Caenorhabditis elegans: one gene and its partner. The protein of the gene in region 1 interacts with the protein of each later gene in a pairwise test. Each region holds a gene or a part of one and is shown on either strand. Other genes may lie near its edges.

Region 1 (3,755 bases):
TTGAATTTTCCACGAAAAACAACGAAAACAATACAATCAGCTGGTCAGATTCCCCAAAAACTTAATTTTCTAGATAGATGTATTAATTGGTAGACAATCGGGTTCATAAACTTTCGTTTGCTTTCAGAACGGAATTATGGGAACTGTCACAAATTTGCTAATTATCTATATATTCATAAAATCACCGACAGAGAGAACATCGTTTAATGTTATTTGTGTTTTTCGAGGAATTGGAAACACAATAATATTAACATGGGGATTTTTGGCAACTTTTCTACCGATTACACTAATGTGAGTTTCTTTCGAAACATTTTTCTTTCTAACTTTTCAGAGTTGGGAAGTTCAATTCTTTCCAACATAGGTACTTGCTCGTTTTCCTAGAAAAAAAATTCAATACTGCTTTAATATTCTAATTATTGAGCTTAATAATCTTAGAAGACTTCAAGAAAAATTTTTTCTGTTATTAAAAAATTTCAGAGGGGCCTCTCCATTCAGCCCATTTTATGAAACACTAGTTATTGGATTTTCAAATAGTTTGTACTCTGGACTTCAGTATACCGGAGTTTACATTGCTTTAAACAGATTTTGCGCTATGTTTTTCCCTACATACTATCCAAAAATATTCGATTTCAAAATAACATTTCTTATAACATTATTAATGTTTATATATAGATTTGTCAAAATTATTTTGGAGTTTTTTCATTACATCCGTAAGTGTGAACTCGTTCATCAATTTTAATTTAATTATTTAGCTTTGGAGTGTTGGATGGTTTATACATCTTATGATCTTGCATGGTCTCCGAATATGGGTGAACAATGTAAAGATGACGACAATTCTTCAAATATCAATACTTCTGCTATATTCCAAACCGTTTTAGTAATATTAAACGCAGCGATATTTGCTAAAATATATTTCTTCTATAAATCGACAGATCTTTCGACAAAGGGAAGAAAGCGGAAATTGAAGAAGAACAAAGTTCTATTTTTACAAACTATGATTCAGGATAGTATAACCTTAATTGATATGATCTTCACATTTCGGCTGTCTCTGTTAAGTACAAAGAGATTGTGGTCATTTTTTTGTGGTACTGTAATATGGGAATGTCTTCATTCAATTGATGGGTTAGATTCCAAAAAGAAAGTATTTATGAATAATCCAAATTTAGGTTAATCATGGTTATGTTCAATGAAAGGCTCACATTTCTGCAGAAAACTTTTTTTGCATCTTCAACAAATGCATCAGTTGCATCAAAAGAAAAAGGAACCGCCACAGTAACACCAATGAAAGTTCCATCTCCTGTCGTATAGCCGTATTTAATATTTTAAGTTTTGAATTATGTAGTTCTGCATTATTTATGAATTATTTTTTTAAGGGTATTGAAATTCTAACATAAATGAAAAAAATATACTGATTTTCGGTTGCTTGGAATAATGTTCATTGGAGACTTGTGAAAGCCAGTTTCTAAACGTTAATTTCACTTGAAAGTGCTAAAAAGGCAGTTCTAGCCGAAAAATTGACAATCACTAGAGATAATATGTGTCTATTGTTCATGAGCATTTTTGTTTTCAATCAAATTTGTTTTTACAATTTGAAATAATAGGTCTCTGTCTGAACTTCCAGTTATTTCACCAATCTTGTCTGCCACGTCACAAATCCAACAAGTTCTACAAAAAGGTTAAAACATCTTTTGTCTGGTTCCAATCATGTCATGAGTTGTTCTGTTATTTGCGTTTAAAAAACTTTCTCATACATCCGCATTGATCCTCTCTAATCCCACATAACAAAACCGTTTTTAGTGGGATTGAATCGCTCCACCGATTTCGGTTCTTTTCAAATATTCACTCGTTCGAGTGATTGACTGCCAATCGAAATATGAAGCATTCATTGCTGATACTTATTTCTGTTCTAGCCGTTTCTTCAGTCGAAGCGTTCCGCCAACATGCTCCCCCGCGTCCACAATTCCGAGATATTTCCGATTCTTCTGATGAATCTTCGATAAGCTCCGAAGCAGACTCATTTGAAGATAACGTTGTTCAAAACAAGAACACTAATCAACAAAGAAGAATCGATCCAGATATGATGATTCAAGCAAAACGGAAGTTCAACGAAGCTCCGCTGGACGTTTTTGGAAAGAAGAAAAATACATTCTTTGACCGTCCATCATCTGAAGAATTGGAAGCTTATGATGATAAGGTTAGACAACAGAAAATGAACAGATTTGTTGAAGACGATGAACCAATCATGATCCAAGGACCAGTTGATCCAGAATTCGCAAGAGGCCCAAAACCAAAGACAATGAAACCCAAAATGGATGATGCTGAAGAGAAAGTTTTCCTGACTGCTCTTGGACAAATATATTTGGATAAACTCGACGAGGAACAACGCACAAATGAGAGATATCCAGGACCACTTGGACCAATCGGACCAATGGGACCACCACCTCCATTGGATTATGATTACTTGTTTGTTCCAGTCGAGGCTCCTAGCAAAATGGAGTCTAATAATAATGGAAACAACAATGTTCACGTAAATGTCAATCATGTTCAGGCATGTTTAATGAAAATAACAAAGCTTTATTATTATTCCTACAGGTCAACTCAAATGTTCTTCACGTCCCTGAAAAGGACAAGAAGAATATTGAAAAACACGAGGACATGCCACCAATAATTCCATCTTATCATGACTCAGAACCATCTTCTACATCCCAATTCCTTTATTTCAACTTCAATACATTCGACATTCTTGTCCTTTCTGTTCTGATTGCTGCTTTCGTTTTCGCCACCAAGAAAGCATATACCAAATGCTTTCCAAAGTATGTTTGATGAAAATTTCAAAAAATGCATTTAAAAAATAATTGCAGAAAAACCGTAGCTCCGCAATTGCCAACAACTCTTCCACCAACTTACACTCCTTCTTCTATTGTCGTTGAGACAGTCTCCAAGAAGACACCACAGTAGTTGTATTACTGGAAACTTTTTCAAATCTTTTTATTTTTATATACAGTAACTAAAACTTTGGTATAAAATGTTTGATTATCAATGTTCTTTAGTTTTTCTTCTTCATGCTATCCTCAAGACATGCTGGAACAACCTCTTGTTTTCCAAGACTTCTGATAACATAATCAGCCCACCAGGTTGGTAGAAGAGACAATGGAACGTAAACAAAAATTGCATCCCATCCACAGTAATACCGATGACGTGGATATTTTGCTGTCAGAGCATGATAGTAGTTATCAACGACGTAATGAATTTTTGTTGTGCTCATGGAGATGTAGGTCTTGTTCCACATTTTTGCAACTGAAATATGTTTTGTTATGTATCAGGTGATTGGTTCTGAATTTTTTGGGATATTATTTTTAAAAAACCCTGGACACCCTTTAACAATCTCAATTTTTACATATTTTAATTAAGTATATTTGCATCCAATTTTGAAAGTCTAATATGTGTATTCCAAAACTCACAATAATTTTTAAATGTCTCTCCGTATTCAGTTCTAGTTTCATCGTCAATTTGTGTCCAAACATGATCAACTCTCTTCAGCATAGCTTGCTCATCTAACAATGGAGTACGGAATATTCCGGGCTCTAGAATGCTCACTTTCACTCCGAAATTGTAGAGCTCTTGCCTGAAATTATAGTCATACGATTTAGTGACACTTGAAAGTTGAGTAAACAATTTTAGGAGATGCATTTACTTGTACTCCTGAACTATTCTGAAACCAAACATCAAACTTGAAAAATTCGAGATAGGAAGTA
Region 2 (6,599 bases), on another chromosome or scaffold:
CGCCGCGTAGTAGTAAGCGCCAGTATGTAAGATTTGCGCGCAATAAAGCGTTTCAGATTGGGCAATTGTGCCTTGCTCGGGTTCAAGGAGAGCACAATTTTGGCTGGATTTATGGAGTGGTTCAAAGACAATTGAACGGAGTACTCTATGAAGTACAGTTGGGATCGAGAATTCAAAGAATTCACACGAACCAACTCCGTCACATTTGCGGTCGCCGGAGCCGTGGGAATGACTATGCTTCATCATTCATCGAAAATCCGTGTAAATTGTCGCTCTTGGAAAACATTCCGCGCTCTAGTTGCCGCCAAAAATTTGTCGCTCAAGGTGTCCGTGGGGAGGGGAGGGAAGCTAATCCAGTTTTAGTTTCAGATTCTTCTGTTTTTGGTTTTAGTGCTCCAGATTTGTCAGCTTGTGATTCTGTTGGTTCTCGATCTGCTCGTGAAGTCGTCTCGTCGGTTGCCGGCAATGCTCGAAATGCTACTTGTGCAAATATAACTACGATTCATGTTACGGAGAGCAAGAGTTCGTTGAAGAAAAGCCACAGAAGACGTCGCCGTGTGGCAAAGAGTCGCCAATCATATACTTCTGGAAGTTCGCCAATCAAAGAAACCCATCTGGACCCCCTGCTGGAATCCGATGTTGCGAGTGACGGCGAGCGTTTCCAACCCGGCATCCTCCTGTGTCATTCTCTTCGACAGAGTCACCCACGACAAGTTGTGCGAGGATCAGCCCCAAACACTGATCATGCCTCCACTCGCCGCAGAGGTCGATATACCGCCTCTGGTCGTGATGCCCCTAGCCCAGGCATAATTTCTGGCTTTTTGTCATATAAGAGGGGAGATGTTGTGGACGGAACGTAAACCTGAACTTTATACAGACGTGACCTTTGGGTCATCATGAACTTATCGCGTAAGCGACCTCTCTTTATAATTCATTACTTCTTACACTTTCTTGTAATAAACTACTTCTCTCCTTGTCTCTCGCTCAATACACAACAAAGCTCAACGTCAAAAAATTGAGAAACAATAACTGGTGGAGGGGAGGGAGGGAAAAAGAAATCAGATACGGTCAATGATCTAAATGTTTGAAGAAAGATCAAGGAACAAGATTCTAAAATTATTCAATTTTTTCTCAAGTTTTTCAGAATTGTTTGACACAGAATAGAATAGCTTTTGGAAGAAAAAACATTGATGGATTTTCAGATGGATTTTCTATAGATTTTTAAAGATTGCATTTCTGCTGGGGTACTGTAGTTAGAGAGCTAAAGTATCTAGAGCAGCAATTGAAAATTAAATTTCATCACGAAAAACAGAACACCTAATAGTAATTTCAATTTATTTCGAAAATAGGAATTAAATTGGATAATATTTAACTTTCACTGTATAAAAAAAGTTGTAAAAGGGAATACTTCTGATTAATGTAGTAATTGCAATTGGTTGTAATATATCGTACGACACAGAAAACTACAACTACAACCAAATGAGAAAGAAAATAAAGAAAAGAATAAAGGATCAACTTGCTTCTTCTCTCTTCAACAATACAATTGCATGTGTTCGTCACGTAGTGTGTAAGTGTTCGTCTCGTGGCGGGAAGCCAACGGGATTCTTCGCCCAACACACAATCATAACCGATATAAATTCGAGGCACCAAGCTGAGAGTCAGATGGAAAAAGAAAGAGTGAGATGTAGAGAAAGAAGCGAGACTCGGAGTGCGCGGTAGAGTTCATCAGAGAGCATGTTAGGCAGAAGAGGGAGCAGGAGTGCCGTCGCACTAGCTCTCCGGCTTCATCCGACGGAGAAGAGAGCAGTTGAGAGAAGAAGAAAAACGAGGGGAAATAGAAGAGAGAGGACTCCTCTGCTGCTCCCACAGCCCAAATATTCTATTATTGCCCCTTTTCTTTCTGTTTCTTTGCTTCTTAGCATCTTTCTCTTCTGGTTTTTTTTCTCGCTTTCCTTCATTCCGCTACAAATCCTCCCGAATTTGAATTCAAATTTTTGGCATAAATTGGTATATGCAATATTCAACTTTACAGAGTACAATCGGCTCAATTTCGTAGTATTGCTCCGATTAGATCGGCGTCGTTTCGATGGCCGCCGTTCGATCCGGCCTGGTCGACATTTTTGTTCAGGGACAATGGCATCGTGTATTGGCTACTCTCGATCCAACTGCTATCACATTACAAGTAATTTTTTAATGATAAAATATTCCGAAAACTAGAAAACCACTGGAAATTATTGTAAAACAACTCATTTTTCGCGAAATTCTAAAAATAAATTGGATGGTTTCTAAAAACGAACAAAAATCTATATTTGAAACAATTATTGTTAAATAATTTAAATTTCGGTATAATAAAATATCATTCATTTTTCTAATGTGGAATGATACAAGTTGCTGAAAAATAGTGGTCGTTCTTATTAATACCAAAATGCGAAATTTTGCTATTCAAGACAAAAGAATACGGTACCGTGTCTCAACACGATCGAGCACGGGTTTCTGGCTCGACCCCTCGGTGTATTTTGTGCAAACACCGTCACGCGCAAATGCATACACTTTTTCAACGCGCTGCGTGAAAATTCCTCTTGCGATTTCAAAAAAATTTTCCCGCCATTTCAGCGTCCGATGGAGCGCGGGGTCGAGCCAGAACCTCGTATCGAGCAGTTATAAATAAATTTGTCGGAAAAGAATGTGCGCCTTTATGAAGTACAGTAGGCTCTAATCCTCACTATTTCGCAGACTGTTTCGTTTTAGAAAAAGCAGCTGCTGGAGATTGGGTCTGGAGATTACTGTAGGTTTTAAAGGCGCACACACATTTTTCACACCTTTAATCCTTTAATCTTTTTGTAAGTTTTCAGTCGTGTCGAGACCAGGCACCGTATTCTGGCGTCATAAAACATTTATTTTTTTACGAAATTACGTCGAACATAAGTTTTCTGATGCCCACGAACGAAATATATCATCTGAAGAGATCCATCTATGGAAACCAGAAACGGGAATGGGATCATATTACAAATAGTCTATGCTTCTTCTTCTTCTTTTCCTTTCGCCACATTTTGGCTCATTTTTCAAAAAAGGAGGCGAGTTGGCTATGAAAACTTATTAGTCGTTCTTGCTAGAAGAAAAAAGAAAGAATGGAATGAGGCTACTTAGAGATGAAGTTTGTATATGATACGACTTAAAAGGAGAAAACGGATGGAGAAAGGTATACTGTGACTACAATAATTATCTTCTTGGAGTCTATATGAACTCTTCGTTCCGACATATATTCTCAAGTATTAAAATGTGTATAACTCTTTTGCTTTCTTATCTTTCTCATCTCTGGTATGACAGTCCAACTGAAATTTTGGGAAAAGACAAAGAAAATATACCATTGCTTGTCAAAAAAGAAGTCGTCATGTCATCTACTCCCCCTTCTCCAAGTATTCCGTCAATCGAAGCTCCGGCTTTTGACAAATTGGTATGCCAGCTTGCATGATTTCATTTTACTCAGTCTCCTCCAAAAATTACATTAGCATGTGTGAATTTGTTTGAAATTGTTTAAAATTTGGTCGGGAAACGTGGAAGGGGATATTTATGAGCAAGGGAAGTGAAATCCAAAGAGAAATGGGTTCAAGCTGTGATGAATAAATATACTATTTTTCAGACAATGGAGCAGAATGAGGCTGAAGCAGAGAAACGGACAGTTCGAGTTGTGAAATATGATGGAAATGGATTAGGAATTTCAATTAAGGGAGGCAGAGACAACAACATGCCTATTGTGATCAGGTATGAATGAACTTGCGGAGATTTATACATCTCGTGTGCCATTTCGTGATTTTACGTCAATTTTGAAATTTTGATCTATGATAAATAATTTTTAGTTTTAATGACAAGGGCAATTCTCTAGAGAAAATTTTTATAATAACTGAAAAATGGAAGAATGGACTAGCAAACCTCGTACACAATCGTGTGTCGATTTACTCAGCGTGTGTACTCCCCGTGGAGAAGCATTTAATTTTTTCAGAAGATTTTACAGTTTTCGGTCAAAAACAGAAAGTATTTCCCGAATTATCCAAAATTAGGAATTTAAGGCGATAACTGTGAAATTGTTTGCAAAAATGTACACTTCTCCTCGGGCAGTACACACGATACGTAAATCGACACTTTTTTTTCTGAAATAGAATGTTTAATTTAGCAATTAAAGAACAAAATTAATTTCGATTGTAGCAAAATCTTCAAAGGAATGGCAGCGGATCAGGCTGGAGAACTATTTCTTGATGACGTCATTATCTCTGTGAATGGAGAAAACCTTCTCGATGCTTCACACGAAGAAGCTGTAAGAGCATTGAAACGAGCTGGACGGGTTGTTGACTTGCAAGTACAGTATAGAAGAGAGGATATGATGCATCGGGAAAATATTGTGGAAAATGTTGAATGGGATGATGATATTCGGGAACGAGTTAGAACAATTGGTTTAAAGCTTGCATATGTGGCAAGAGCTGGAATAGATGCAGATGCAGAAGGTAGAATTCTAGAAATGAGAAGTCCATCAGGAAGGTATTCCCTAGCAATGAGATGTTCAAGTAGTGAAGAAGCAGATGGATGGTTTGAAGCTTTACATGCCTGTACCACGTGTCTTCTGACTCAGGCACTGGCTCAAGTCAATATAATGCTCGGTAACAACCCCCAAGTGAGACATATGGGTTGGATTGCAGAACAAGTATCAGAAAATGGAATTTCAATGTGGAAACCTAAATTTATGACGCTTACGAATAGTGAGATCTTGTTCTATGAAGCTGTTCCACAGCTGAAAGCAGAATGGGCAGAGCCAAGACTAGTACGTCCTCTGGTGGCAACAAGAGTCGTTCAGACAAGTTCTCGAACTGCGCCAGTAATTAAAGGTCTCACTGATGTGATCTCTTTCCGTATGAGAACTGGAACTCAACAAGGTGTTCGGACACATACGATCCGGGTAGAAACTCATGCAGAACTGGCACGATGGGTTCGTGCAGTAGTGATCGGTGGATATGAAGCATGTCTTTCTACATCTCAAGTCTCTGCTCCTTGTCTTTGGCGAGGCGAATCATGCGAACTAATAGTTAATCTAGACAATGGAATATCATTACTTTCGTCGACTGGAGAGGTGAGCTCATTGGAATAATTTAGCAATAAGAAAGTGATAAACGTTTTCTAGATTAAAACAAAGATTTATAACATTTAGAGAAGCTACATTTTCTTAAAGCTTACAATTCAGGTACTGTGGCAACATTCGTTTGAAACGATTCGCGCCACCGGCGATGATGGTGGTCGTTTTCTCTGGGTCGATTTTGGACCACCACATGGTGAACAGGTAAAAATGGATTTTATTTTAACCTTAATTTCATACTTATAGAAAAAAAACGGATTTTTTTTGTGTAAAGTTTTTGAATAAAAAAAAGGATAGGCAACAAAACAATAAAAGCAGATCAACAAGTAATATTCAAAACAAAAGAAGCATAAATGAATGAAAAATTTAGGAATTGGATTTGCTAAATTCCGCAAAGCCAGTCGTGTTCATTCTTCATTCATTTCTCGCCACCAAGGTGTATCGATTAGGATTGTACGCGTGAAGCATCAAAAGGTTAGTTCATTGGAGCTCCATATGCATCAGGCATTCGCTCAATGGAGAATCTGTGATTGACAATGTACATGATCGGAACTCCTGGGATCTTTCGGATGCGGCGCTTCAGATCACGATCACAAGTGGCCACAATATAGCATTTATGCTGAAAATTATATTATTTTTTTCATTTTCAGATTCGTTATTTGTTCAAGTTTGCCAAACAAAAAGACTGCAGCAATACCACATTCCGTCTCCTGCCTCTTCTCGTCATAATAGATTTTATTCGTTTAAGATTTGTTAGATTTTATTAAATGAAAAACAATGAAAAATTATGAATAAACGAACCTGTGTAACTCTTTGAACCAAACAATCATCAGCATATGTTCCTTTGTGCTCACACTTCAGTCTCTGCACACGTGGATCTTTCAGAACTTTCAGAGCAATTTTGAATCTTCTCACTTTTTCCAATTCAGCCAATACACAGTCAGTTGCGTACACAATAGCTGAATTATTGTGATAAAATACAAGAAAACGAAAGAAAGTGTATGACTCACTTTTCGCGAACAGACAATCCATGAATCCTTGAAACATGTCAATGCGATTTTTGACGGCGAAATTCACAAAATTGGTATCGACAATAACGTGAAATGGTGGACCCAGCTGTGTATTGTATTTCATAAACATAGCGGATGAGATTTTTGGACTGAAATTATGAATTATTATTGTCTGGACACATATTCGTACGAATAAAACTTACGCACGGACCAATTTGAGTTCTTGTTCATCTACTTTCGGTGTTCTAATGACTCTTTGTTCTTCTTTTCTGAAATATTGCGTTTTAAATCAAGGTTATTCGATAAAATTATCGTTATCCTTACATTCTGTTGTCTGTCTTTTTGACAAGCTTGTTTACAGCGCTTTTTCTGGCGTTGGACTTCAAGCGTTTACCCATTTTCTGTAAATTAGAACATATATTTGTAAATTAGCACATATATTATCGAAGAAATTTGGAAAAAACGAA

Evidence for each region.
Region 2: the proteins of F35B12.9 (region 1) and stn-1 interact in a two-hybrid assay, tested with the Caenorhabditis elegans proteins (one large-scale study listed by BioGRID).

Annotation. Positions count from the first base shown.
Region 1 is NC_003283.11:11,599,321-11,603,075, forward strand, and holds F35B12.9 (uncharacterized protein), read left to right. Parts: upstream 1-1,850; 5' UTR 1,851-1,873; coding exon 1,874-2,548; intron 2,549-2,592; coding exon 2,593-2,813; intron 2,814-2,861; coding exon 2,862-2,958; 3' UTR 2,959-3,038; downstream 3,039-3,755. Other genes in the region: srx-84 (7TM GPCR serpentine receptor class x (Srx) domain-containing protein), read left to right, coding at 128-291, 478-710, 753-1,122, 1,167-1,308; dhs-20 (Retinol dehydrogenase 7), read right to left, coding at 3,047-3,297, 3,462-3,625.
Region 2 is NC_003279.8:9,499,236-9,505,834, forward strand, and holds stn-1 (Syntrophin-1), read left to right. Parts: upstream 1-2,032; 5' UTR 2,033-2,086; coding exon 2,087-2,182; intron 2,183-3,640; coding exon 3,641-3,762; intron 3,763-4,203; coding exon 4,204-5,119; intron 5,120-5,167; exon of another isoform or gene 5,168-5,230; coding exon 5,231-5,326; exon of another isoform or gene 5,327-5,492; coding exon 5,493-5,585; 3' UTR 5,586-5,596; exon of another isoform or gene 5,597-5,597; coding exon of another isoform or gene 5,598-5,741; intron 5,742-5,772; 3' UTR 5,773-5,923; downstream 5,924-6,599. Other genes in the region: F30A10.9 (PIN domain-containing protein), read right to left, coding at 5,598-5,741, 5,924-6,081, 6,133-6,281, 6,336-6,401, 6,457-6,530. UniProt on the Caenorhabditis elegans protein: Adapter protein that binds to and probably organizes the subcellular localization of a variety of membrane proteins. May link various receptors to the actin cytoskeleton and the dystrophin glycoprotein complex (DGC).